Linked DNA regions of Cricetulus griseus. The protein of the gene in region 1 interacts with the protein of each later gene in a pairwise test. Links are inferred from orthologs where the notes say so. Each region holds a gene or a part of one and is shown in the gene's direction. Other genes may lie near its edges. The genes, in order: Fate1, Smim14, Emd, Syndig1, Synpr, Rprm and Tmem11.

Evidence for each region.
Region 2: the proteins of Fate1 (region 1) and Smim14 interact in binary tests that used the Homo sapiens proteins (3 or more experiments, as listed by UniProt). The two-hybrid records come from large-scale screens. The link is inferred for Cricetulus griseus from reciprocal best matches to the Homo sapiens genes FATE1 and SMIM14.
Region 3: the proteins of Fate1 (region 1) and Emd interact in binary tests that used the Homo sapiens proteins (3 or more experiments, as listed by UniProt). The two-hybrid records come from large-scale screens. The link is inferred for Cricetulus griseus from reciprocal best matches to the Homo sapiens genes FATE1 and EMD.
Region 4: the proteins of Fate1 (region 1) and Syndig1 interact in binary tests that used the Homo sapiens proteins (3 or more experiments, as listed by UniProt). The two-hybrid records come from large-scale screens. The link is inferred for Cricetulus griseus from reciprocal best matches to the Homo sapiens genes FATE1 and SYNDIG1.
Region 5: the proteins of Fate1 (region 1) and Synpr interact in binary tests that used the Homo sapiens proteins (3 or more experiments, as listed by UniProt). The link is inferred for Cricetulus griseus from reciprocal best matches to the Homo sapiens genes FATE1 and SYNPR.
Region 6: the proteins of Fate1 (region 1) and Rprm interact in binary tests that used the Homo sapiens proteins (3 or more experiments, as listed by UniProt). The two-hybrid records come from large-scale screens. The link is inferred for Cricetulus griseus from reciprocal best matches to the Homo sapiens genes FATE1 and RPRM.
Region 7: the proteins of Fate1 (region 1) and Tmem11 interact in binary tests that used the Homo sapiens proteins (3 or more experiments, as listed by UniProt). The two-hybrid records come from large-scale screens. The link is inferred for Cricetulus griseus from reciprocal best matches to the Homo sapiens genes FATE1 and TMEM11.

Annotation. Positions count from the first base shown.
Region 1 is NC_048604.1:3,690,889-3,694,911, reverse strand, and holds the start of Fate1 (fetal and adult testis-expressed transcript protein), read left to right. Parts: upstream 1-1,223; coding exon 1,224-1,329; intron 1,330-1,824; coding exon 1,825-1,952; intron 1,953-2,875; coding exon 2,876-2,982; intron 2,983-3,279; coding exon 3,280-3,355; intron 3,356-3,727; coding exon 3,728-3,859; 3' UTR 3,860-4,023. UniProt on the Homo sapiens protein: Involved in the regulation of endoplasmic reticulum (ER)-mitochondria coupling. Negatively regulates the ER-mitochondria distance and Ca(2+) transfer from ER to mitochondria possibly implicating it in the regulation of apoptosis.
Region 2 is NW_023276807.1:132,496,523-132,500,022, reverse strand, and holds part of Smim14 (small integral membrane protein 14), read left to right. Parts: intron 1-1,913; coding exon 1,914-2,056; intron 2,057-3,500.
Region 3 is NC_048604.1:1,461,291-1,465,382, reverse strand, and holds the start of Emd (emerin), read left to right. Parts: upstream 1-1,292; 5' UTR 1,293-1,429; intron 1,430-4,092. UniProt on the Homo sapiens protein: Stabilizes and promotes the formation of a nuclear actin cortical network. Stimulates actin polymerization in vitro by binding and stabilizing the pointed end of growing filaments. Inhibits beta-catenin activity by preventing its accumulation in the nucleus.
Region 4 is NC_048599.1:29,351,879-29,355,911, reverse strand, and holds the start of Syndig1 (synapse differentiation-inducing gene protein 1), read left to right. Parts: upstream 1-1,233; coding exon 1,234-1,713; intron 1,714-4,033. UniProt on the Homo sapiens protein: May regulate AMPA receptor content at nascent synapses, and have a role in postsynaptic development and maturation.
Region 5 is NW_023276807.1:171,601,859-171,605,358, forward strand, and holds part of Synpr (synaptoporin), read left to right. Parts: intron 1-237; coding exon 238-429; intron 430-3,500. UniProt on the Homo sapiens protein: Intrinsic membrane protein of small synaptic vesicles. Probable vesicular channel protein.
Region 6 is NC_048599.1:120,434,663-120,437,913, forward strand, and holds Rprm (protein reprimo), read left to right. Parts: upstream 1-1,277; 5' UTR 1,278-1,538; coding exon 1,539-1,868; 3' UTR 1,869-2,751; downstream 2,752-3,251. UniProt on the Homo sapiens protein: May be involved in the regulation of p53-dependent G2 arrest of the cell cycle. Seems to induce cell cycle arrest by inhibiting CDK1 activity and nuclear translocation of the CDC2 cyclin B1 complex.
Region 7 is NC_048600.1:74,863,484-74,867,567, reverse strand, and holds the start of Tmem11 (transmembrane protein 11, mitochondrial), read left to right. Parts: upstream 1-1,284; 5' UTR 1,285-1,492; coding exon 1,493-1,548; intron 1,549-4,084. UniProt on the Homo sapiens protein: Plays a role in mitochondrial morphogenesis.

The DNA of each region.
Region 1 (4,023 bases):
TTTATTACTTTATTTTTACTATCTTTCGTTTATTTTTTCTGAGACAGGGTTTCTCTGTGGAAATCTGCCTGCCTCTGCTTCCTTCAGCAAATCCTACCGGCGTGAGCCACCACACCCAGCTACTCTATTTCCTCCTGTTATTTTTTCTCTCACAAGCCTACATATATTTTTAAATGCAGTGTAAACCTTTAGAGGTTTTTCTTTATCTGGATCTGTCTGTATCATCTTGGGAGTGCTGAGTCCAAGGCCCAAGAGCGCCGGGACGGCGTGAGCCTATGGAAGCTGTTCCAATGCCTCTCAGCACCCTGACAGGGCAGGCTGTGGTGGCAGGTTTCCCTCATTCTCTGGGAACCTTGGGGCATGGGGTCATCCCACTCACTGACCCATTCCTTAAGGTTTGCACTTGATTCTTTCAGCACATTGGTTGAGTACAAGCACCTGACTGGGAGGAAGCCATTTTATTTAAAGTCCATTAGGGATAATAATCACAGCTGCAGTATACCTTTGCAGAAATACTGAGAGTTGAGTGTCTGATAAACTCACTGGGGATCAGAACCTGACTAAATTGACACATACATCTGGTCTAATCTGTAGAAAAACTGAGGCAGAGCTGAAACATACAGCAGGGTACACAAGCCCAGCATGTCCCTCTTGCCCCTCCCTGCTTCCTTCCCAGGATTCATATCAGACAAGGCCATCTACTTTGCTTGAAGACTCTGCATTGGAGGAGGCAGGATGTTCTGTACAGAGAAGCTCCTCTGATAGAGTGCTGTACCCTAGATTACTGGCCAGTCATGGGCTTGTAGAAACCATGATAAGCATGGGACCTGTCACTGCTTTGGGCACTTATGGATGCTTGGGCCGTATGCCAGCCCTTGTCTCTTTCTAGACCATGATGGAGGATGGGATCCTCCTACCCGTGAGTAGCAAAATCAAGGGGAGATGAATCAGGGCAGCTCACAAAAACAGTACCACTTAGAGCACTATCTCATCTCCAAGTTGCTTACACAGCAGAAGAGAAGGCGGCCACGAGACCCACCAACAAGATACAGTGGGAACTCAAGGTGCCAATCCAAGGCCTGAGCACAGAGAGGGAGAACTGGCTCCACCCTCTTGTGCCAGTATATCTCCCTCACATTTCTACCCCTGGAAGAGGCGAGCTTCCAAGTGTCTTCTCTGTGCCATCCACCCTGAACAACCTTACAAATGAATACCTGGTGGTGATGGCAGAAAGCCCTTCCAATGTCAAAGAAGGGTATAAAATGTCCATTTCTGAAGATCTAGGGACTGGAAACTTTGACCAAAGCCAAGAACAACCAGTGATGTCAGGTGAGAATCCCCTAAAAAGCCTGTTGGGTATAGTTAATCATGTGCGTTTACTTGTGCTGCTTCTACAACATCCCAGTCATTGTGCATGCTGTTTACTTAGTCTGGAAGGTTATTCGTTTGTTTTAGGTATTTCAGTGTTGATTTATGCTTTTCTTTTGCCATATTAGCTTGTTTTGGTTTTTAATCATTCATGAACCATTTACATATCTGAATTTACATGGATGGAAGATTTTATTATTGGTATTTCCTATTCTCTCATACATAGAGATGGTTTGTGTTTGGGATTTCATCTCTTGATCATTGCTCATGCTACAGAATCCTAGGCCCAGGGCCAGATTTTCAGTAAATACATACTGACCTGTTGAACAGATGGACAAATAGGCTGAGCATCAGAAGTGAATGGGTATTGAGTGATTTCTGCTGTTTTCAGTACCCAGAAAGTTCTGGTAAAACCTTTAAAGCAGTATTCATAGCAGTCTCTGTTCTTCTTTCTAGAAATGATGGAACGTGGGTCCCGGTCACTGGGAGGAATCCAAAGACGTCCAAGGGCAGAGCAAAAACCTGCTGGATCTGGTTCAGGCCAGTCATTTTGGAATGTGACTGGACCTCGTCCCAAGAAAGGGGTATTGACAAATGGTGGCTAGTTTAGGGTGGGAAGTTCTTACTTTGGGGCTCCTGTATTCCCATGGTAGATATAGCTAGAAGTTGATCATTAGGAGGAGGAAGCTTCCATATACCAATAAAGCAAATGAATGAAGGGTAGATCATTGGAAGGTTAGGGTTGTACTGTATAATGCTGGGACTTCAATGCTAGAAGTCTGCATGCCTAGCAAACATGTTGACTGGAAAATGCATCTATAGTTGACCCTCTACATTCCTAGGTCTTGCATCCATTGGCTCAATCGATCACAGATGGACACTGTCTGTGGGTGGAGGTGGAGTGATTACATCTCTAGAGAATACATGCAAGATGTTTTTCTTGCAATGATTATCTACACAATATAGTATAAGAATTACTTAGATGGCATTTACATTTTATTAGACATTATAAATAATATAGTAATTATTTCAATTATATAAAAAGATATGATTATGCTATATTCTAATATTATGACCTTTTACACAAGCAACTTGGGAATCTGCAGAGCTGCATAACCATAGTGAGGCGTTTATTCTAGAAACAGTCTCCATGGATACCAAGGGATGACTATACAATTCTTTATAAACTTCCAAGGTGTGAAATGATGTTTTCTTTTAAATTACTTAAAATCATCTTGAAGGTTTACATTCATCTTCAGTAGGTAGCTTGGGTTTTCAAGGGATGCCTGCATGTAAAAGTTCTACCAAAAGACAGAGAAGCCTGTCACTGCATTTTCCTTGGCACAGCACACAAGGCTAGAAGCTACCAATAGGCATGGTGTGTGTGTGGGGGGGGGCACAGGAAGATGAAATGACATCATGGGGCTCCTATGGGGTGTACTGTTGATTCATGCACAATGCGGTGCTAAAAGGGTGACTTGGAATGGTGTATCCTTTCTTTCTGTAGGGTCATCAGGTGCAGATGCCCCGGATGCCAAGAGATCACAGTCAGGTGGATGGCTATCTCCAGGAGTTTCCTGGCAACTTCCAAACAGGGAGGGTCCCTTATGAGCGGTAAGAGTTCAATTGTCTTGTTCCTAGCTACTGGGGGAGGAACAAGCAGAGGGTAGGGCCATAGGGACTAGTGAGCATCCGAGTCGAGAAGCAGATGTATATACTTGAAGTATTGGGATACTATTGCCTCCTGGCCATTTGGGATCTACGTATGCTTTGGCAAAGCCTCCGGCTTCTTTACTACACAAGGGAAGGACTGGGATCTTTATCCAAAAAGCCTTCAGGCATACCTTATTGCTCTGTGTCTTTTCTATGGCCACCAACACCTCTGAGCCATGTAACCTTTCCTTCCAACAGTCTGGAGGCAGATTTAGTGGCAGAGATTGGCCTGGAAGAACTCAATGGGCTGGAGATGGAAGTCATGAGAAGGCAGGTAAGCATCTGTTGTATAGTTGGAGGAAGCATCATAGTGCTTTGGAGTGGGTGATTTTGGCAGTTGTGAACAAAGCCACCCCCGAGTTTTCATAGCCTTTGTCCAAATCATATCCTGTAGCAAATGAAGTGAGGTTGGGCTCTCCTTTCTGTTCTTCTCAGGCCTCATGCCTTGAGTACCTCATGTTGATGTTCACCCTTGACTTTCCTTTATGCTGGAGATGCTGGACAGGAATTGGGGAAGAGAAAAGGATGTGGAAGGGGGAACAAAGATTCATTTTGGTTTTGGTCATATTTTCCCCCTACCCTTATGTCTTGCCTTTCTCATAAGAGTGATTCCTGCTCACAAGTCCTGTGTTTGGTCCTTCCACAGATGCAAGTGATTTCTGGGCGGCTGCGTGCCCTTGAGGACCAGGATGCCACGTGGCGCCATAAGGAGGCTGTGCTCTTTAGTTTGCTGGTCTCAGTCTGCATAGCCAACCTGTGGCTTTGGATGCGTCAGTAAAGTTTCACAAACACCACAACCCCATTAGAGCCATTCCTTTCTTTCGTCTTCCCTTTGCTTTCAAGGATGCCCTTATCCACGCCATTCTATCTCCCAGCAGCCCCCCAGGTAGCAGTTGGGTCATTTTACCCCTCTGCTTGGGCCTTCTGCCTGGAGATACGCTC
Region 2 (3,500 bases), on another chromosome or scaffold:
ACCAGAATCTACATTTTACTGAACTGTGATTGGTCCAATTGTGGATGTTTGTCCAATACCTACTATGTAGCTGACCATTCTGTTTTTTTGGCCTACCTATTTCAGTCTGTGCTCACTGCTACCCTATGAGGTGATGGAGTTGTTTACCATTCACAAATAAAGAAACCAAGGCACCAAGATTCAATAGCTAAAAGATAGTAATCAAGTAGCCACAAGATGGTCTCAGCTCCTAAAAAGTTAACGACCTAGGTAACAACTGGAGCTGAGTAGTTGCTCAGCGCATCCAAGGCCCTGGGTTTGATCCCCAGCTTGGGAAGACCGCAACAGCAATTTGATCACCTAATTAGGAAAACTGGGAAGCCATTCCTTGGATTAAGAAATGCCATGATACTTTGGAGAAGGCAGCAGGACAGTGGCAGAAAGAATGGGATTGTTATAGGGAAGAGGGAGGTAGTGAATGTGAATGCGTGCCAGACAGGGTGGAGGATATGGGATGCTTTGGAAAGACTGGGTGTGCATAGTTCCCTGCCAGAGTAGTATTGAATTACTATTACATCATATTCATTTCGGAAGGTTTTTTTAAAAATGTTCGACCACACCCGTATGCTGCTCCTGAATCAGATGGTCTGACACAGGGCCTCAGAATCTGTGACATGGGTCACAGGCCTTACTGATGTACTGCCAGGCCCGGAAAACATTGGCTCAAAAATATGTAGTAACTAGAAAAAATAAGATTAGATAAGTAGGGCCAGATCACACCAGCAAAGGTCAAGCCCGCATGGTCAGAGTCAGATCCATAGGCAGTGGTTACTGCTAGGCTGGTGAGCAGAGAGGTTCCTGTTACTGGTGTGATGACTCATACTTGTCTGAGAGTTAAGGAAAGGAAAATCAGGAATGTGAGGCATCCCAGGCTACCCTGGAGACCTAATGATAATGGATGATGGATAGACCCTGTGTAAGAAAAATAGGACCCAACAAAGTTCAAGTACCATGGCTCAGCTGATATAAAGGATTGTGTCCTGAGTTCAATCCCCGGGACTCACATGGAGGAAAGACAGAACCAGATCCTGAAAGTCACCCTCTCACCCTCATATGTGTGCTCCACACACAAATAAAGAATAATTGTTTTTGAGATGGGGTTTCTCTGTGTAGTCCTCATTGTCCTGCAAGTCGCTGAATAGACCAGGCTGGTCTCGAACTCATAGATATCACCTGCCATGCTTGATCTACATGAGTTAGTTCCAGGACAGCCTCAAGCCACAGAAATACCCTGTGTGTTGGGGGGGGGGGAGAAAAAAAAGAAATCGCCTGCCTCTGCCTCTGGAGTGCTGGGATTAGAGGCATGTATCAGCACCCCCTAGCTCCATAGGTATTCTTAATCTGGCTTCTTTAGATTTGTGGTTTCTAGAATCCACGAACCTTCTGCAATCAATGCAAAGCTGTTCATGTGTGTAGCCCATGGAGTGTCGGCTGGGCAGGTTAAGGGCACACACTGCATACTCTTGCAGAGGACCAGAGTTCTGTTCCAGGCACCTATGTCAGATGGCTCTGCTTATTGCTCCAGCTCTGGGAACCCAACTCGTTTGGATTCCACTGCATCTGTGTACACAATGCTCATCTCCACACACAGACATACACACATACCCATGATATAAAGTAAATAAAATTGTAAAGAACTATTGGACTAGTCAAAGTCTTTACTGTAATTTGGTTTGTGACTAATGTAAGTTATACCTTATAGATTTCTTCACTTCAGGGAAAGGGAAATTTAAACATACTAGTTTATAGCTATACCCTAAGTTATTAGTGCTTTTCTCAATATGATTTTTAAACATTAGAATTTTTACCTTTATGTCACGATATTATGGTCAGGGTGCAGTTTTGCTACACATGCTCCTCTTGTTTGTCTTCAGTGCCAGGACCCTCCAGTGACAGTGGCGTCAGCATTACTGTGATCCTGATGGCCTGGATGGTGATTGCAGTGCTCCTGTTCTTACTGAGGCCTCCTAATCTGAGAGGCTCCAGCCTCCCCGGGAAGCCATCAAGTCCTCACAGTGTAAGAATGACTTATCATGACTTATCTTTTCTGGGTAGCATGGGGGTGTTTGTTTATCCAAAGGAAGACTTAATTCTTTTTTTTTTTAAAGATTTTATTTATTATGTATATAACATTCTGTTTCCATGTTTATCTGCACACCAAAAAAAGGCACCAGATCTTATGCCTTATGCCAGATGGTAGTAAGCCACCATGTGGTTGCTGGGAATTGAACTCAGGACCTCTGGAAGAGCAGTCAGTGCTCTTAACCCCTGAGCCATCTCTCCAGCTCCCAGGAAGACTTAATTCTTGCACTGAATTCTTTCAGTGTAGTCATAATAAAATTTTCAGTTCCCAATTGTCCTTCCTGGAGATAAACATACAAAACAAACAGCTTGGTGTGGTTCATCTGTAACCCCTGTACTTGAGAGAGTGGGTCAGGAGGATTACCACAAATTCAAGGCCTGCCTAGCCTACCTAGTGAGTTCTAGGCCACCTTGTACTATAAACTGAGATCCTATTTCGGGGAGGGGGGGTGGGTGTCTACAAAATGACACAGCATCCAGAAAAAAAAAATAATAAACAAAAAACTTTTCAGGCTGGGGATGTGGTTCGGTTGGTCAACTGCTTGCCTGGCATGCATGAGGCCATGCATTGGTTCCTCAGTACCTCATAAACAGGGTGTGGTGGTACACACCTGCTTTTTTTTTGAGGCCTTTTGTTGTTAATGTTAGAACTTATTAGAGGAAAGCAAGTATTCAGTGAGAACTGGGCTGCACCATGGAGCTTTCAGTAGAACAGCAGATGCAGATTCACACTATTTTGAGTTAGCTAAGAATGGCTTCATTGGCACACACAGGCTTTCATTGCAGGTGTACCCTTTAATCCCAACACCTGGAGTCAGCTAGAGTTGGTCTCTGAATTCAAGGTCAGCCTAGTCTGCATGATGTGACCCTGTCTGTCTTAAGAAGGGAGAGAGGGAAAGAGGAAGGAAGGAAGGAAAGAAAGCTTTAATGTACTGCAGACTTTACTTGGAAAGGGGAATGTGCATAAAAAGCTTGCATTTATGAGATATTTCTTTCTTATCCTTTTTTCTTACATTGTGTGTACATCTTTATTATTTTTGAGTCAGGGAGCAGTTTCTCCAACGTTTAGAGATAAAGAAATCCAACTTAACCTGACTTAGAAGCCATCACAGATGACACACCCCCTGGGCCTTACTTGTCTTAGGAACAATAGTTTCTGTATCCTAAGCAAGGACAGAAAAAACCAAACTGCAGTAGAAATGCTGTTCACCCTTACAGAGCATGCCAGGGTAATTAAATAAAGTCTTCCCAGCAGTCCTAAGAGCTCAATTCTTTACTCTCCCTCTCTCTTTCTGTTTTTGAGATAAAGTCTCACTATATGGCCCAGATAGCCCTGATCTCATTTTGTAGCTCAAGCTGGCCACAAACTCAGGATCCTC
Region 3 (4,092 bases), about 2.2 Mb from region 1:
CCCATGTATGGAATTGAATCAATAATGGATTTTCCACTGTGTGCCATTTGTCTGGATCACCTGAGTTCACTAATTGGCAGGAAACAAGGAAGACGGAATCATAGTAATGGATCACACAGAAGTTGGGAGTCCCAGCTTCCAGCCCTATGATTTGGCTATTTCGGGGGTAGGGGTGGGGGAGGGGGGAGAGTTCTTGGCCTTAGAGTGGACACAGTGCCACCACCAGATGTCGCTCCATCTCAAAGATCCAGGGGCAGCTCCAGGAAGCCAAAATCCAGCTCTTTCATATTTTCCCTTATTTGGAGTAGATTCTTCGATGTTAGGCACACCCCGCCCACCTCTCCCACCCCCACCATCAGACCCTAGGCCAGGCCCTCCCATAGGGAACTATAGACCCAAGCCCACCAGCTATACTAGGACCCTGAAGAGCTTTTCTAGACTTGTGTAGCCAGGGGGCGCCAGGAGGGAAGGAAGCAGAAAATCCCTGAAGTAAAACCAGTGCCTGTAAGGCAAATTCAGGTGTGACAAGATAGAGAATTGATTTCCTGAACTTTCCACCTTGGCCAGACTCCTTGGAGCTGCAAGAGACTGTGTGTGGGTTTCACCCACTTTTTCTTTCCTGGGATCTGGGAACCTTGGTGCTTATGTTCTGGCTGGCAATGACCGTCATACTCAGAACCAACCTGAGACAGGACCCAAGATCCAGGCTGGAAATCTGTCTCGCTATACCCCTACCACAGCCCCGAAATCAGCTCCCTATGTCCAAACTAGCAGGGGACTCATCATCTCATATGTATTCATATGAGGGTGGACTCATATCCACCCTTGCCATTGGCTGAAAAGTGTCCTTCTAAGTTGCCACTCACCCTTATCCCAATCAAGATACTAGTCTCAAAAGACCTCCCTCCCACCCCCAGAGAGTCACACAAAGACCAATTAATGGGTACCCACGCCTGTACCCATCTCCTGCCAAACACTCAGATACCAGCCCCTCTTTCAGGGACCCCCCCCCCATGACCTCGAGCTCACAGATTCCTGAGCACAAACATAAGTTTGTGGTAAACTATGCAAGTCTGGACACTAACACGATGCCTCGGACCTGAGTCCACACCCAAACTGCCTGGCCTCGGCCTCTCTGCTTGCTTTCCAAACCTTTCCCAGCTCCCGAGCGTCGCACCCACTATCTGACTACTATCCGGTGTGGAGCTAATTACAGAGCCCTCACCTGCTGTCCCTCCAACCGCGGGGTGGCGCCCAGCTCTCTGCGCTCGAGCCAGAGGCCTCAGAACTCCCCTGGCGTCCGCTGCGCGCCGCGCGCCTCCACGCGAATGAGCCGCTGCTGCCCGCCTTCTTGTTGGCTGCATCCCCGCCCCACGTCCGCCCCGCGCGGGGCCCGGCAGAGCCCGTCCCGGCAAGAAAGCCTTAATTGGTAAAATCGCCCTGGAGCCGGGGGCGGGGAGGGGATGCGGGGGCGCGCCACGAGCTCAAGTGCCCTGGCTGACAGGCGACGCCATCCCTCAGAATGAGCTCACTGCTCCGTGAGGGCCGCCAGGCTTCCGGGGGGGGGGGGGGTCTGCAAAACCTGTGTTTAGGCCCAACCTTTAATAGGCTAGATGAGTACAAGGGAGCCAAATGCTTACTGGCTGGAAAGAAGGCCCCGCTCCAAAGCCACCTATACAGGGGAATTGCCCACAGTCACAGCCTTCTGCCTCTGCCCAAGCCTGGTTTGGCCACACCGGTCAGGTCTTGTTCCATGGGAAGAGATGAAACAGGTAATTGCAGTGAGCACCAACCGTTCGTTCCTAAGGCCCCAATGGGTCCCTGAGCACTGTAATGAACAAGCCCTTGTAGCTAGCTATCATTGATTTGGTTCCTGCTAGGTGCAGCTGTTGGCTGTGAGCAAACAACAAAAATACATTGAATTCTCAAAGCAATCAGGTGAAGTCTTAAAGCCTGGGGGTGTGCAGTGTGGTACAAAGTGCCAAATATCTGTGAAGTTGGTAGGCACAGCCATTACCTAATATTGTCAAGCTCTCTCTTCCTGTTCTATGTGCCCATTTCCTGGTAGTTTCAGATTCAACTCAAATGTCATTTCCTACAGAAAGGACACATAAAGCAATGCCATTTTTAACATTTTGTTATTCATTTTACCTGCAACCCCAATATGAGCTACATTTGCATTATGCCAGTGTGCACATAACATGAAATTGAAATAGATAATTGCAAATTAGATTTTCCTTTTCTGATGTGTGTGTGTGTGTGTGTGTGTGTGTGTGTGTGTGTGTGTGTGTAGACTAGGACTCACTCTGCAGCTCAGGCTGATCTGGAAATCACTATGTAGCACCCAGACTGGGCTTTGAAGTGGCAATCCCCCTCCCAATTTCTGTTTCATAAATGTTGGAATAACAGGCCTATTTAATTTGTTTTCCTACTCAATATTATCAAAAAGAGAAGGTGGCACATGCTATATAGTAAGATAAAAGGGAGAAAAGAAAGAATATGAAAGAGCAGTGAGGGGGAGTTTGATCACATCTCCAGAGTCAATTTAGTAATCTATAGTGTAACTTGAAGAGCAAAGTGCTGGGGTCCCCTCCAGGCACTATGCATCCAGTGCTACCTTTGTTGGCTCCACTGGCAATGACATTTCACATTCTGGCCTCCCAATAAGATCAAGATCCCTCACTGTTCTGTCTAGCAGGAGACCTCTGCTAGGGAAGCCAATGAATTATCATAAATTGCTAAATTAGTGGCTTGATTTCAAGTTTGTGAGGTGGCACTAGAGTACATGGAGATGATTGTCTTTCCGGAGGATAAACCCATTTACCCACAGGCATGGTAATCAGATCAACCGGTAGGCAGATGGAAGGGGCATGGGGGAGGTAGTGACTGTGAGCTGCATTTCAAAGACATCCCCCACACACATACAAACTGAATTTGAACTTTCTTTACTGCCCCTCCCAATGCATACACATCCAAGAAACCCAAGAAGGGTCTCCAATTTCTTTTTCTTTTCTTGTTTTTTCTTTTTTGGTTTTTGGAGACATGGTTTCTCTGTGGCTTTGCAGGCTGTCCTTGAACTAGCTCTTGTAGACCAGGCTGCTCTTGAACTCACAGAGATCCACCTGCCTCTGCCTCCCGAGTGCTGGGACCAATGGTGTGTGCCACCAACACCCGGCATTCCAGTTTCTTTCAGGTCTATCAACTATGAAGATTAGTTAACACAGCACTAACTGTTCCTTGGTAAAAATCATGAATTAAAAACATTTTCTTGCTGGTCGGTGGTGGTTCATGCCTTTAATCCCAGCACTCAGGAATCAGAGGCAGGCAGATCTCTGAGTTTGAGGCCAGCCTGGTCTACAGAGTGACTGCCAGGACAGCCAGAGCTACAAAGAGAAACCCTGTCTCAAAAAACAAACAAAATTTTCTTCCTGTGTTGAATAAATGTTTTCATGGTGACTTTTCCTTAAAACTGGTGGGGGGGGGTCTGGACTGAATTCAGAATTTAATGCATGCCAGCCAAATACTCTACCACTGAGATAACTACCTCCCAAGCCTCCACTATGTTACCCAGGTAGCCTTGAATTCACCTTGTAGCTCATGCAGGCCTTGAACTTTCAATTCTCCTAACTCAAAATCCTAAATGCTGAGTGGGATTACAGGACTCACAAAATTTTCTTATTCTTAGAATGGGTCACATATAGCCAGGCGGTGGTGGCCCATGCCTTTAGTCCCAGGACTCAGGAGGCAGAGGCAGGCAGATCTCTGTGAGTTCGAGACCAGCCTGGTTTACGAAGCTACACAGAGAAACCCTGTCTCAAAAAAAAGGGTCATTTCCAAGATTTTTTTTCCCAAATAGCCACACCTGCCAATAGCTACTCCCTCCCAGGAAGAACTTCCGAGAGACCTACAGAATGCCCTGCATACATCCTTCTGGCACCTCTGACAAATCCTGAGTGAGGTCTGAGGCCAGACTTTTGTAGCACCTAGATGACCAGGTACTTCCTGTGGAGAATATTTCCATGAATCACTCAATTTGGGGCTATTGCAAAAGCCTCTTTAGACTCTGGGATCTTGATTCTTCTGCTGAATGGT
Region 4 (4,033 bases), on another chromosome or scaffold:
AATAAAAAGTCTACAATTAGAAAATACTTAAATGTTATAGAAAATGTTAGTGCTAGAGGAGCATGAGATGAAGCTTTTGTGTGTATATCCATATGTGTATATGTCTCCATATGTGTGTGTATGTGTGTGAACGCTGGAGCTTCCTCCATCATTCTCCACCTTAGTTTTTTGAGACAGGGTCTCTCACTGAAACTGAAGCTTACTTATTCAGTGAGACTGTCTAGCCAGCAAGCTCCAGAGACCCTCCTGTCTCTGCCCCCATAGTGCTGGAATTAAATGTGCTGTACCACCACACTTAGCATTTTTTTCTTTTATTTGGGTTCTTGGGATCGAACTCAGGTCCTCATGCTTGCACAGCAAGCAATTTTCTAATTGTGCCATCTCCTCAGCCCATACAAGATGCTATTATTTATATAATGGCTATTAACATGCAATCTGCAGAAATGCTAGCATTACATTTCCTAGAACTTTAAGCTCTGGTCTCTTTGGTTCTTCCTTTGTCTCCCTCCTTCCTCCTTCTCTTTCTTTCTACATTGTGCAAGCCTAGATAAAATTTTCTAAGGGCAAACAATTTGGAGTCAGTCATTATTTATGAGTGCAGTGCTCATCCTACTAGGTACACAGGAGTGCACTGGTATATTCATGACTTATGTCCTCAGTGTGGAACTGTGTCCACAGTGTGGCACAGTCTTCCTGTCATTAATTTTTTGTCTGTGCAGAGTGTGGTTTTAAAGTGTCTTCCCTTGGTGTGTTCTCCTGCTTGAATGAATGGTTGTATACTTGGAATAATCGATCCCCACTACAGACATACAATTCTATTTCTCTGTAGACCATTGGGATGCTAATGCGATTGAGTTTCTCAGTTTCAGGATGTCTGTTGTCAGACAGAGGCTTCTGTAGGACTGCAGTAGATCCAGTTCCTGCAGCTTCCCCCATTTGGAAACAAAGACTTCATAGGGATGCAGGCAATCGATTTCTGGCTTCATCTGGATGGCGCACTAATGGGCCCTTTGAAAATTCACAGAATGGGATGGACTGTATTTATCTGACTCCATAGCTACTATGCATGCCAGATGACTAGTAAGCTCTGATGCAATGTGTGTCTGTGTGATGAGCTTTGCATAATTTTTACCTTCTCTGTTTCCTGCTCCTCCAGGGAAATGGGTCCTATGGGGCTTGTGTGACCAGTGAGCGCAGCCTGCTAGCCTGACACCCAGCAGGAGGGAGTCTACCATGGATGGCATCATTGAGCAGAAGAGTGTTCTGGTACACAGTAAGATCAGTGATGCTGGCAAAAGAAATGGCTTAATTAACACCAGAAACTTCATGGCTGAGAGCAGGGATGGCCTGGTGTCTGTTTACCCAGCACCTCAGTACCAGAGCCATAGGCTGGTGGCCAGTGCAACACCAAGCAGCCTGGAAGGAGGCAGAAGTGAGCCAGTGCAGCAGCTGCTGGACCCAAACACACTGCAGCAGTCTGTGGAGTCCCACTATCGTCCCAACATCATCCTCTACTCAGATGGGGTGCTCCGCTCCTGGGGGGATGGCATGGCCACTGACTGCTGTGAGACCACCTTCATTGAGGACCGATCGCCCACCAAAGACAGCCTGGAGTACCCCGATGGGAAATTCATCGACCTCTCAGCTGATGACATCAAGATCCACACCCTGTCCTATGATGTGGAGGAGGAAGAAGAGTTACAGGAGCTGGAGGTCAGAGGATGTGCTTGTTAAAGACCTTCTGGGATGGGGGCAATGGGATTTGAGGGATACCTGTGAGTGCTCAGCAAAAGTCAGGGAGTGAAATTGCCATGCAAAAATACAGAAGGCCTTATGGAGCATTTGTGAGGGATGGAAGGAATGGAAAAAGACTGGGAGCTGTACAGTGATCCCGGCCAAAGGTGACTATAGAGGGAAATTACCAATATGGAGTCAGGTAGAAATACAAGGGTATTTAATAGGGAAAAGCCTTACTTACAGAGCAACCTAGCCAGCCGGTGTGGCAGCAGTCTGTCCAGCAAGTACAAAAGTGAAACCGAAAGAGAAACGCAGTCCCCTGAAAGTCTCACCCTGACCACGTCCTCACAAGCATGGTCAGGCACACCTGTAGCCAGCCCCTAAGTAGGCGTGGCTACAGCTTCCCCTACAGGTGACCCCTAGAATTAGCCCTGTATGTGGGGCACAGACATCAACACTGCATGGCAGGGCAGTTGGGGATACTGCCACTGAATAACCTACAAGAAAGAGGGATACATGAGGCTAGAGACATATGGTGTGGGAACAATTGCTGTCATAGCTGGCTGTTTCAGAATAAACAATAGAAATTTAAAGGGGGAGATAAGGGAATTAAACCTGGGATTTATCAAATCGTGGGAAAGCACTGGTCCAGTGAACTGTGTTCCTGAACCCAACATGCCTTACCTCTTTAGTCGTTGAGGCAAGTGAGGGCCTTTGAATTGCACACAGAGAGACACATAAGCAGGACTCTGTGAGATAGGGCACAGTGATTGCCATCCATGTGATGTGGGAGTCATTGAGAGGCCACTGCAATGCAGGAAGAGCACAGAGGGTGTTCTACTGGGCCTTGAGTACAGTGCTCAGGAAGGGAGCCTGTGAGGGCCACCACAGGTCGCTGAAGAGCCCCCTCCATAAGCAGAGACATTTAACCATCTTATGCCTCCAGTGGGAAGAGAAGGGCATGAGGCCAGCCAGAGCCCAAGGGACGCTAGATGCTGGGTGCTTTGGCTTCTGTGCTAATGCCTCTGGCAACTATCTGCTGTTTTCCAAAGTCTCAGGGTTTGGCCAAGAGTAAGTGTCTGAATCTGCCTGTCCTGTATGAACCAGCAAAGCAAGCACAAGTGCAGTGTGAAGTGGACACAGAAATTCTGTTGAAGGAGTGGCTTGTTGGCTGTGAAAACAGTCCTCAAAGAGAAACGTAGATCTGACATTGTGTTTTGAGTGGGAAGTTGTCAGAGGAAGCCCTCCTGAGCAGCAAGCAGGGTCCTACCACCCAGAACCTTAATCATCTAAGGGAGCCTGAACGCAGGAAAGTCACACACTAAGCTATAAGACAGAAGGGCAAGTTGACAAGCTGGAGCTTCCAGGGAGTTAAAGCCCATCTGTACCTTTCATGTCTCTTGGCTTCTGTGCTGTGCCACATCCTGTGGGCCAACCTGCTAGATTCCAATTGAAAAAGTGTGGAGTAACTGAGAATCAGAACCTTCTAGTGTTTAATCCGCAAAACAGCACAGACCGAGTAGGACACCACATGGAGGAACTGAGGCCTATAGGCTGCAGGCTTTGACGTCTGCCTTTGGCTGGAGTAGACAACCATGGAAGAGTTCAGGCAGGAAGGCTGTGACAATGTGATGGATAGCTTTGTGTCAACCTGACACAAGCTGAAATCATCTGAGAGCAGGGAACCTCAATTAACAAAGTGCCACCAGAAGATCAGGCTGTAGGCAGGCCTGTAAGGCACTTTCTTAATTAGTGATTGATGGGGGAAGGCCAGCTCATTATGGATAGTGCCAGTCCTGGGCTGGTGGTCCTGAGTTCCATAAGAAGGTAGGCTAAACAACCATGAGGAACAAACCAGTAAGCAGCATCCTCTGTGGCCTCTGCATCAGCTCTGCCTTCAGGTTCTTGCCTTGCCTAACTTCCTGCCCTCACTACTATAAACTTTTTTTTTTGATTCTTGTAGATTTCATATCAAAATCCCACTCACCTCCCCACCCCCTTGCCTCTACCTTCTGCCCCTGTGACATGATACCCCCCAACAAAACAAAACAAAAATCTTGGTGTGGAAGCTGTACTGTGGCCCAGTGAGTCACACTGGATACCCCTTAATCCATACGTCTTTACTTGTAAGTGTTCTTTGTAATGCTCGTTGGTTTGACCTCTGGCTTCTGCTATCCTATTGATACTGGGCCCTTGCTGGGACTCCTCCTGGATATCCTGTTGTTGTCCTGTGTCATGGAGACCCTGGAGCTTTGAATCTGCAGTTCTGGCCCCTTCACATACCCCAGCCATTCAT
Region 5 (3,500 bases), on another chromosome or scaffold:
TTTCAATAAACAAAACTAAATAACAGTTTAATTATTTATCTCATGTAAGTATAAATACAACATCAACAAACTTTATTTATTTTACAGTATCTCTAGGTCCTAATGTTGTGGATCTTAGAATTTTCAAAAAACCAAATGGTATTTGCATAAATTAATAGATTTGCTTCTGGAACTCACATCTGTTTGTTTGCTGTTTGTTTGTTGTTTTTTTTTTTTTCCTGTCTTCTCTCTGTGCAGGATTTTATCGTCACTGTCGTCTTTTCATTCTTGTGGTTGGTTGGTTCCTCTGCTTGGGCAAAAGGACTGTCTGATGTCAAAGTGGCAACTGATCCAAATGAAGTCTTGTTACTGATGTCAGCTTGCAAGCAGTCCTACAACAAATGCTTGGCTGTCCACAGCCCTGTCATGTCCAGCTTAAACACATCCGTGGTGAGTATTTGTTCATCCAGGCTTGACTTCCCAAATCTTAATTGATGGTCAGTGATTAAGAAAAACACCCCAAAGCTACTGTATACATTTCTGCCTTTAAAACTAGGCCAATCAAAAGAGGGAAGTCTCACTGACTGGTAAGATGATATTTCAGCCTCCAAGATTTTCAATGTCAAAACCAACACACTGTAATGTTTCTGATTACAGTTTTTAATAAAAACCCAGCAGGTATTAGCAGCTGTGGCTAAGATGACAGTCAAGTGAAAATTCTAAGCTAAAGCTGATATAAAGCCTAAATGTTAAGGCTGAAGCCTGCCAGAAGTTAAAAAGAATATTTGTTAACTCATGTTTCCTGGAAGAGAACATTTTATTAAAGCCACACATGGAATATACCAAATTGGTTGGAGAAAAATATGCAGACTTAGTAGGGAGCAAGAGGAAATGCATGGCTTGAAAAAGGACTTAGAATAATCCTGTATCTTCTCCCTTCTTCAGTATAGCTCTTCGATAGCCTTAGAAAATATGTGCTAAATTGGCTGAACAAAATCAAATATTGTCATCAAGAATATAGGCCTTACAGGAAAGTATGAATGCCAACAGTTGGAGAGAGGCTAAATTGTATTTCTAATTTATACATGTAAGCAATTGTGCTACTCCACAGGAGGAAGCTGCATCTGATAAAGAGCTAGGATGTTGACAAAAAGAAACATTTACTGAGGAGTGGGAGTCTCAGCTGTGTTCATTAAAAGTACACCATCCAGCAAAAGTGAAGTATAGTTATCTTGGCTGCAACATTAACCTGTGTCCCTGAGGCTTTCTGACATTCAGTCAGGGAAAGGGGCTACAAAGAGGGCAAAGGTTGTTCCACTCCTCCTGATTTCTCTATAAATCTTGTCTTGGTGAAATAGCAACCATGGAAATCCACTATGCCCTGGATCTCACAAACATTCTTACATATTGCTGGCCACACTTGTGAGTGGCAACTTGTGAGTATGCATTAACATATATAGTGATTTCTGTAGCTTATTTGTAGGCAGTGCCAAAGACATAATTATGACTCTCATCTCAAAATCTAAGAAAATAAAAATTGCTTGACATGTTTAACAAATCAAGTAAATGATATTTGTCAACTGCTAGCTTGGTAATGCATGTCCCAAGTAACTTATGACATCCCACCTGGCCTTGTCATTCCACTAATGTTCTAATAAAGTTTAGACTAGAAGGTAGGACTTAGAGATGAGGAATAATGTGTTCTCCTAACCCTAACAATAATGTGAACATATGGAAGGAAAGGCCTGCAGGGTTGTCATTGTGTCCCTGACAGCCAAGGCTTTGGTGGTTCTAATAGAACAGCTTGTTCAGATAGATTAAAGCAAAGTTTACAGTATTCTTTAGACCCTTGTCTGGAACTAGTGTCTGTACTCATTCAGATGTCTACATTGTAAATAGAAGCTGATCCCAATTTTTTCATTAAAATGATAGTTTCTGGAAAGATACCATGAACCTGCTGAGATCTGAAGACATGAGAGTGGAAGAAGCTAGAGCAGGTCCTCAACTCCTGATGTCAGAAAACTAAAATACTGTCTCTCTGAGTTGCTGAGTAGTGGAAATTTTACCTACCCTCCCATTTTTCTCCTTCAGTAGAAAAGTTCCAGGGCAGACCTCAAGCTATTGGACTAAAACTTCACACTGCAAGGAAATGAATTGTGTATTACTATCACAGGAGGAAGGATATTAATCAGTCAACTCAGGTTTTTGATTTAAAATTGTGTTTCAGGCAGCGAAACCCAAAAATAATGAGAAAAACTAGAAGTGTTCCCCTAGAGTAGAGTCTATGGCTGTAAGCTGGAAGATAGTCCAGAGACTGTATCTTTCCCATTCTCTACCACTTACCCTTGGGTGTGCACCTGTTGAAAGACACTGTTATATTAAATTCCTTTTCTAAATAGAATTTTAATTTTTTCTTGAACATATGGGAGAAGGTAGGTACCTTCAGTTTCTAATTGTGTCTTTCCTTTCAAAGAAACAGCTTTGGCCAACCCAAAGGCTCAGTGGGTACAGGTGCTCACTGACCAAGTTTGGTAACCTTATCCCCAGAATTCGAAAAAAGGATGAAGAGAACAGACTCCACAAAGTTGTCATCTGACTTCCACATGCATGCATGCACACACACACACACACACACACACACACACACTCAGAGAAATAATAAATAAGTGTTGTTAAGGGAGGGGCACTTAGACTGAACTGATATCACTCAGATCCCGTTACAAATGTCTGAATGTCTGGTTGAGAGCATCCCATTGGCCCTTTCAGGGACAGGTATCCTTCTCAGTCTCATCAACTATAACTATAGGCTTTAGGAATTGTATATTCAAAACATGGCTCACAGAACTCACCCTGCTGGTCAAGTGCAAGTTCTGAAGAAGGAACCATGCCCTACACATACTATGCTCTGTGATCTCTGCAAAGAAATTGGTCAAGAAACAATAAATATTTTCTACTGTGGTAATAAAATTATTTTCTTTGCCATTGTAACTTCACAGTAGCCCTAAAATAAGGTGAGGTATCAGGACATTACAGATGCTGGAAGATGATTTTAAAGATCCTGGAAAAGGTTTCTGGATTTAACTACACTAATGGTAGAACTGAAGCCAAACTCTCCTAATACTGTTAGTACTCAAAAGAGCTGAAGGCACACTGCTGGAATAGTCTCCAAGGAGGGGTCTGGTTCCACTAGGTGACAGTGTAGTAAATCCTTTACGAACAACAAACCAGCTCATGCCACCATCAAATCTCCATGCCACCATCAGAAAACTGTAGACAATTATGCAAGAGGCAGCAGACTCTGAGACTGCTGAGAGAAGATAATGCATGGAAAAAACACTTAGCATGCTGCCCAATCTGTGGAAAATGCTGATTAAGGACCACATTACCCAGAGTTATATCTCATTGGTCAAAAGCACATTCCTTTGGGTGAATGATAAGGGCAGAGCCCTTTACCATGGCAAAGTTTCAAGGATACAGAAGAAATGCTCTGATCAGAGCCTGGTGGCACAGTGCCCAGTGAC
Region 6 (3,251 bases), on another chromosome or scaffold:
TGTCTATCGATGCCAAACTCAGAAATAAAAGGCCTGGAATGACTGCTTCAAGGACAGTCTGAGCTAGTTATAGAGCCTCCCCCGACCCCCACCCCTACCCCCATCCCCAATAGAGCAGAGAATAGCAAAGCAACTCCACTATCTCAGTAGAAACTAGTTAAGAGTATTCTTTCAAAAGTTTGGACTGAACATCAATGTCTCGTTTCCAGTCATTATAATAGAAAGAGAGGGGTCAAAGAAAGCAGAGAACTGGGAAAGGAGAGAAGGGGAAGGGGGGCCGAAAACTGGGCATCTTCTGGAACCTAAAATACGAACTGGCCAGTTTGTAAGACTCCCCTGGAACTTAGAACCAACAGCAGTCACGAAGGACTGAGCCTCCATAGCTCCCTGAAAAGCCGGCAGTTTGCTCTGCAGTGAGTAAGGAAGGCTGGGGGTGTGCATCAGCTTCTGGTGGGAGGCTTCCAGCTGTTGGCTAGCAGTCTAGGTGGTGGATGTGGACAAGCAATTCCCTTAAACAACTGATTTTTTGCCAAGGACAAAAACGCTGAAAGCTCATCCAAAAACTCCTCTGCAATTAAAGTTGCAGTGAAGTGATGGCTCTGTCCACCTCCCTTACCAGAGAGTTAACCCTGTTCTTGGCTAGCACTTTCACCCACGAGCCACAGATGAACACCTCCTTCATCGTCCTGCCCCTTGCCTTGGCCTTGCAGCTCACTGCAAACCCCGCTTCACTACGTTGGCATGTAATAACTCTTTTACTCTTTCTGACGCTTTCATCAGTTCTTCCTTCCTTAAAACAATAATACCACCACCACACCTCCAAAAAGAAGTGAGAAAGAAATAACTTCCCAGATCCTGCCCCGCCCCCCTTGTTCCCGGACAAGCAGGTAGACAGGAATAAGCAGTGGGTCAGTGCTTTGGCCAGGGCCATCTGGTACCTGGCCACTTTAAGTCAAATCAAAGGTGAGAGGGGCAGCATTGAAGGACACTCTCAAGAGCGTGTGTGACCCAGGTTCTCTGCCACTTTCAGCCTTTCTCCCCAAATCCTTTTCTTGTTCATCACATCAAGAGTGTTTAGTGACCTCTTCCTGGCCTTAGGAAATGAAGATACTACAAACCCAGCTAGGACGGCTCTTTTCTTTGCCTCCACTTCCTGGCCGAGGGGGGCGCAGCGCGGCTCTGCCACCAGCAGGGGCCGCTGTGCGCTTGGAGCAGCCGCCGGGCCACCGCCGCGGCCCGCGCCTCCCACGGCCCCTCCGGCCCAACCCGCCAAGTTCCAAGAGCTCCCAGTCGAGCGAGCACTGCCGGGAACGAGCAAAGCCCGGGCAGCACAAGGCGCACACGAGCCAGCTTGCAGCGCGCCCAGGAGAGGTTCCTGAGACTCTCACGGCCCAGGGACTTTGAAAGGGAGGCTGAGGAGCCCCGTACGCACAAGTGTGCCAGCCAGCGCTCCTTCCAGCACCTGTTTCTCCGGCGCCACCGCCTCCCGGTCCCCACCCCTCCGATCCTCGCCTTCCTGGCTCCCGCTTGCTCCCGTGATGAATTCAGTGCTGGGCAACCAGACCGACGTGGCCGGTCTCTTCCTGGCCAACAGCAGCGAGGCTCTGGAGCGCGCCGTGCGCTGCTGCACCCAGGCGTCGGTGGTGACCGACGATGGCTTCGCCGAGGGTGGCCCCGACGAGCGTAGCCTGTATATCATGCGCGTGGTGCAGATCGCAGTTATGTGCGTGCTTTCGCTCACCGTGGTCTTCGGCATCTTCTTCCTTGGCTGCAACCTGCTCATCAAATCCGAAGGCATGATCAACTTCCTGGTGAAGGACCGGAGGCCGTCTAAAGAGGTTGAGGCAGTGGTCGTGGGACCCTACTGAGAGGCCCTCTGGTCCCCCACGGCTGGTGCTCCTGGCCTCTCCAGTACTCCACCAGCCGTGATGCACCTCTCACCATCAGAGACCGAGTAAAGCAAACCTGTCGGAGTCAGAATTTTTTTCTCTCGCCTCCTGCCTTTGGGGAAAAAGTGACCCATTTCTGATCGCTCTCCTAAAGGCCCCAAGCAAGCCTTCAGACGGAGCATCCAGACTTTGGGACTCAGCAGCAGGTGGCAAAAGAGGGTGATTAAGGCGCAGAACTTTGGGAGCCGTTGCTTGCCTGAGACGCGGGGAGATGGACCAGGCGAAGGCCCCTTTCCACCTGCAGGTGGGCCCAGCATTGGGGACATCTGGAGAGGCCGAGAAAGGCGGGAGTTGGGGTGGGGAGGATATCCAGAGGCACTAGTAGCCGGGTGACACGAAATTGACCTGTTTCTACAGCACACTGCAGACCTAATGGGAACATAGATGTGTGTGGGTTTTGCGACCTGCGGGGAGAGTGGAACTTTGATCAATAGTAACCTGTGGTTTATAGAGATCTGTGTTAGTTTGCTTGAATACAAATATTTGATAAGTCTTTTAAGCCCTAGTGGCCTGTTTGCCTGCCTGCGGGTTAGAGTTTTTGTCATCTTGGGAGAAGGGGTGGGGGGAGGGTAGCCTGAGACTGTGAATGGGGTTAAGTGCTTTCTTTTAGTGCATTTCCAGCTGGGTCTCTTTGGGAGGCTGGCGCTCCAGCTAAGCCCGGGACAAAGATCCAGAGTAGAATTTGTAGCTCGTGTATGCACGGTTTACTCCACAAAAGTGCTCTTGATATCCGTGACAACGTTTGACTTTTTTTTTCTTATTTAACATTTCCTTAATAAATGAAACATTTAAGTGTTTTGTTTCTGGCCTCCTGGTAGTCATTCTATTCTCCTGGCGGACAGGAAGGTCGGCTGTGCAGTCTGGGTCCTGGCCAGGAGGTTTCGCCTTGCCGGAGCTGCGATTCTACTTCGTAGAGCCTTATATCCCCGGAGGGAGGGAAGGAGGGGCCCGACAGAGTGCACACACCAAGCCTCAGGCACAAAAGCCATCTCGAAAACAGCGGCCTTTGTTTTCTCCCATATTTACGACTTCAAATTTCACTTTGTCTCGGATGTCAGGGAGGTCCCCGCGGGAAGATTACACTTCCGTACCAGGCTCCTTGGAGAACTTAGGCTACCCCGCTAATGAAAGAAGAAGCCGGCCAAGCTAGCCTTTAGGGAGGGCGTCTTTCCCCTGACCCACGTCAGCAGGACAGCATAGGGATGCTGCTCCAGAAAAAGAAAAGTGCAGGTTCTGAAGAAAAGTAGCTGAGGAAGTTCGAAATACTGAGCAGAGAAACCCTTGTGTCCAAGTCAGGAGGTA
Region 7 (4,084 bases), on another chromosome or scaffold:
ATCACCATAGGTGGCAAAACCATAGAAAACTGAAGGATGCTGGGAAAGGGAGCATGCCCCTGCACTATTATCAGGGTTTCTCGAGAGCTGAGGGCTTTCCTACCACTTTGAAATGCTCCTGGGAAAGTGAAAGATAGTATAAATAAGGAAGGGGAAAATGGGAAATAAAAAATAGCACAGATTTACCTCCTGGATGAGTCACAGGGTCACCTACTTAGGTTTCTAGGTTCTTGTATCTCAGGACAAAGAATTGTATCCGAGATAATAGAAGCAATTCATTAAAAAATTTACAAAGATACTCAGGAGCTTGGGAATAGGCTAGTGATCTGGTTAAGACTCATAAACTCAAGTCCTTAGCCATAATCTCATGAACCCTTTATAGGCCATTTCCATACCACCTGCCTTCTCTAGGCCAAGTTTGTTTGAGTAGCCCAGGCGGGGAAGGGTTTCCAGGCAATTATCAACTGGCTTTTTCATACCTTATTCTTTTTGTCTTTTTTCTTTTTCTAATGCGTCTGGGTGCTTTACCTGTGTATTTGTGTACCTCGTGTGTGCAGTGCTCATGAGGCCACAAGAGGGCCTTGGATATTACTGGATTAACAGACTATTGTTAGCTGCCATGTGCCAGGAATGGATCCTGAGTCTCCTGGAAGAGTTGTCAGTACCCTAACTGTTGAACCGTCTCTGCAGTCCCTCATACCTTATTCTTGATATCTTTTGCTACACGTTCCTAATTTTCTGCCACACTTGCACTGTGCTACAGTTTGGCACTTGGAGGCAGGGTTGCAGCATTCAATTTGAAAACCAGGAACTTCCTAGAAACCACACAGACCCGAGGTCTTGAAGCATAAAAACTGGCTGGGAGGAAAAGGCATTTTGGGTCAAGCACATCTACAGACCCTCAAAATCTCTGAATTTGCCAGGCTGGCAAGCTCTGGTCAGGAGAGAGGGGCAGTTGACACTGCGGAAGCAGAGGTAACCTTCAAACTGGGGGAGCACGAGTTCTAGACTGCAGATAAGAAGAGAGAAACGGAGGAGGTTAAGCTGCTCAAGTCATTGTAAAGTGTGGGACAGTTGAAACGCAGGCCCCCAGCGGCCGAGGCCACAGTGAAGGGCAAGAGGGCTGAAGCCAAGGGTTGGGCTTCTCAGGCCCTGAGGGCGGGGTCGCCGCGCGAAGCGCTCTGGGAGTGGTAGGCGCTTTCATTCCGCTCTCCTTCAGCCATTCGCTCTGGGCGCCCAAGGACGTCCAGGCGGTGGGCGCAGCAACTCGCACACAGCGACTCGGAGACTCTTTCCTCAGGCGGAGCCCACCTTTTGCCCTCTTGCGCGCGGCAGTTTACAGCAGGCTTCCGGTGTGCGGCATTGTGGGCGTTGTAGTCCGCTCGCAACCTCCCACTGCGTACGAACGGCTCACCGGACTACGTTTCCCTTCGGCCCGCGCGCACCCCGAGCCGCTTCGGCGCCAGCCCCCGACGAGCCGAGAGTCTCCAAGATGGCCGCGTGGGGAAGGAGGCGTCTGGGTCCGGGCGGCGGTGGCTCCCGAGAGAGGTGAGCTGGGCTCGCGACTGCAGGCAGCCACCGACCTTAGAGTCGGCGAAGCCTCTGTGCCACGCGCGACTCGGGGTCGTGTCCTGCCGCACGCGGGGCCCAGTCTTCGGGGCTCTGGTGTGGGAGGAGCGGGCCGGCGCGACGGCCGAGGAGCGCCGGGAGCTCGACTAGGAGGGGTAGCGGCCCGCACTAGGCGGTCTGTGAACCGGGGTGAGCGACTGCGAGGGCCGCCAAGCTGTCCTGCGGAGCGGCGTGCGGGCCCTGGGTCGCTGGCTCGCGCACGTGGCTGTCTGGGCCTGGGCGCCGGACGTGGCGTGGATGGACTCTTGGAAGAGGAGGAGGGTAGAGCGGTGTGCTTCTAGGGGCGTTTGCTGAGAGCAGCAGCGTGCCGGGCGCACCTCCAAGAGCCTGTGCTTGGACGCCTTCTGAGCGGCAGTCATCGCCACTCTTAGAGGGTTCGCTGCAAGCGCTTCTGCCCTAAGTCCTTTAAAGTGACCTTTTCAACAGAATGCGTTTGGGGGCGCTAGGGGTTTGTTTCTTCCAGTGATTTCCGAAGATGAGAGTAGTTGGCGTGTTTCATGTTGAACTTTTGTAGGCTTTTCCTTCTGGGAAGTGTTATTAGCTAGTAGGTTACTAGAAACTGTTCAGTCGTTAGAAGTTTGGGGAGATGGGTGTATATCGGTAGAACTACTGGATTAAGCTGCTCAGTCCGTTTTGCAAAGGCCTCTGCATTTTACTGTAGATGTCAGTAGAAAAGAAAGTTGGGCTTTTTTTTTTTTTCTTTTCCGATGAGTACTGTCAAACATAAAAGTTCTGTCTTCACTAATCTGCATTGTTCTTTTTTGTCTGATGCATCCCATGTACCTTGCTTTTGCTTAGAGAACTTTCCCATCCCACACAATTCTTCCTGCTTGGCAGTAGTGATAGCCTTGGTTTTATTCTTGATTTCAGTTAGGCAAAATAATCTATTGTGCATTTACTGTTCCATGGAAAAGCAATGGCAAAGAGTAGTTTTTCTAACTTTCACTTATTTCTTAGATAAGAACATCAAAAGAGGTTATTTTGTTGTTTTCCATGTCCTTAACACCTTAAGGGATGCTTTCAGACTTTTAATTTCAGCCCCTTAGTAACAGGAAAGAACCTTCCTAGAAGACCCAGTGTCGGACAAAGACACTTTTACTACTCCTGTTGTTTTTTAGAGGCAGGGTCTCACTGTGTAGCGCTGGCTGTCCTGGAACTCACTCTAGTTGAAGTTTTGCTTGAATTCACAGAGATCAGCCTGCCTCTGCCTCTGCCTCTGCCTCTGCCTCTGCCTCCCAAGTGCTGGATTAAAAGTGTGAGTCACCAAGCTCTAGGATACTCTTTTTGTTGTTGTTGCTTTTTTTCCCCCTGAGACAAGGTTTCTCTGTGGCTTTGGAGGCTGTCCTGGAACTAGCTCTCATAGACCAGGCTGGTCTCAAACCCACAGAGATCCTCCTGCCTCTGCCTCCCAAGTGCTGGGCCAGGCGTGGGTCTCCACCGCCTGGGTGCTCTAGGATACGCTTATTCTTGGATACAGACTGAAAGGGCCAAACATGGATGCCTCAGGCATGGGACAAGAGCCTTACACTGTAGCCTTCCTAAGAAAATAGATACAGAGAACTATTTTTCCTTTGTCTTGAAACTAATATTAGTCAAAAATAGTTTGTCAGTCAGTCCTTGATTGAGCTTCAACAGCTTTTAAGGGAATTTAAATGAAATGCAGAAAGATTTTGAGGTAAAACTAGATAGTAGTTGACACTCTTCAGAACAGCTTCTCTTTAGTTCCTCACCTGACAACTAATTGAGGTTATCTGTATGGGGCCTGTAGGTGTTCAGGTTATGACCTTTGGTCAGGAACTGCAGTTTCTACCCATGTGTGCAGATGTTGTGTATCTACCAGGAATGGGGTGTCAGATTTTGTGATTTGAGAGTTGCCATCTGCTCTCCTAGATAATATGTAGTGACTGGAGGCTTCCCCTCTATTTGCCTTTGTGGGAAAGTCCTTGCCAAAGGACTCAGTCTCAGGATCCCATCTCCTTAAGGCCCTCCCACTCTGAGCAGTGTATGGAAACAACCCCACCTGACTAGCAAGCTGACTTCTGGGCACACCTCCATTCCAGCTCACTTGGTGGCCTGACTGGGTGGAGCAGGTCAGAATAATTGTATACTCAGCACCATAGATTATGAGGACTGAGTGTATTATTGGCTCTCATGACATAAGTAAGCTGTTTATGGCTCCTAAGTGACTTTGTTCCATGTCACATTTGGACTGACTCAAATTTCAGCTTCATGTTAAGAGTACTTCAGAGTTGCTCACACCTTGCTGCCTGCCCTATGCTGAAACTGATGGAGATGCAGGGTAGTTTGTGGCAAGGGCTGGAGTGGGCATTGCTTTGAACAGACATCATATTGGCAGTGGCTGCATACTCTGGAGCATATGTTGTATTTATTGCCTTGCGTAATGCTGATTGTCAACTTAGTGTGCATTGGTTCTTGCTCTGCCTGCTTCTTAAGT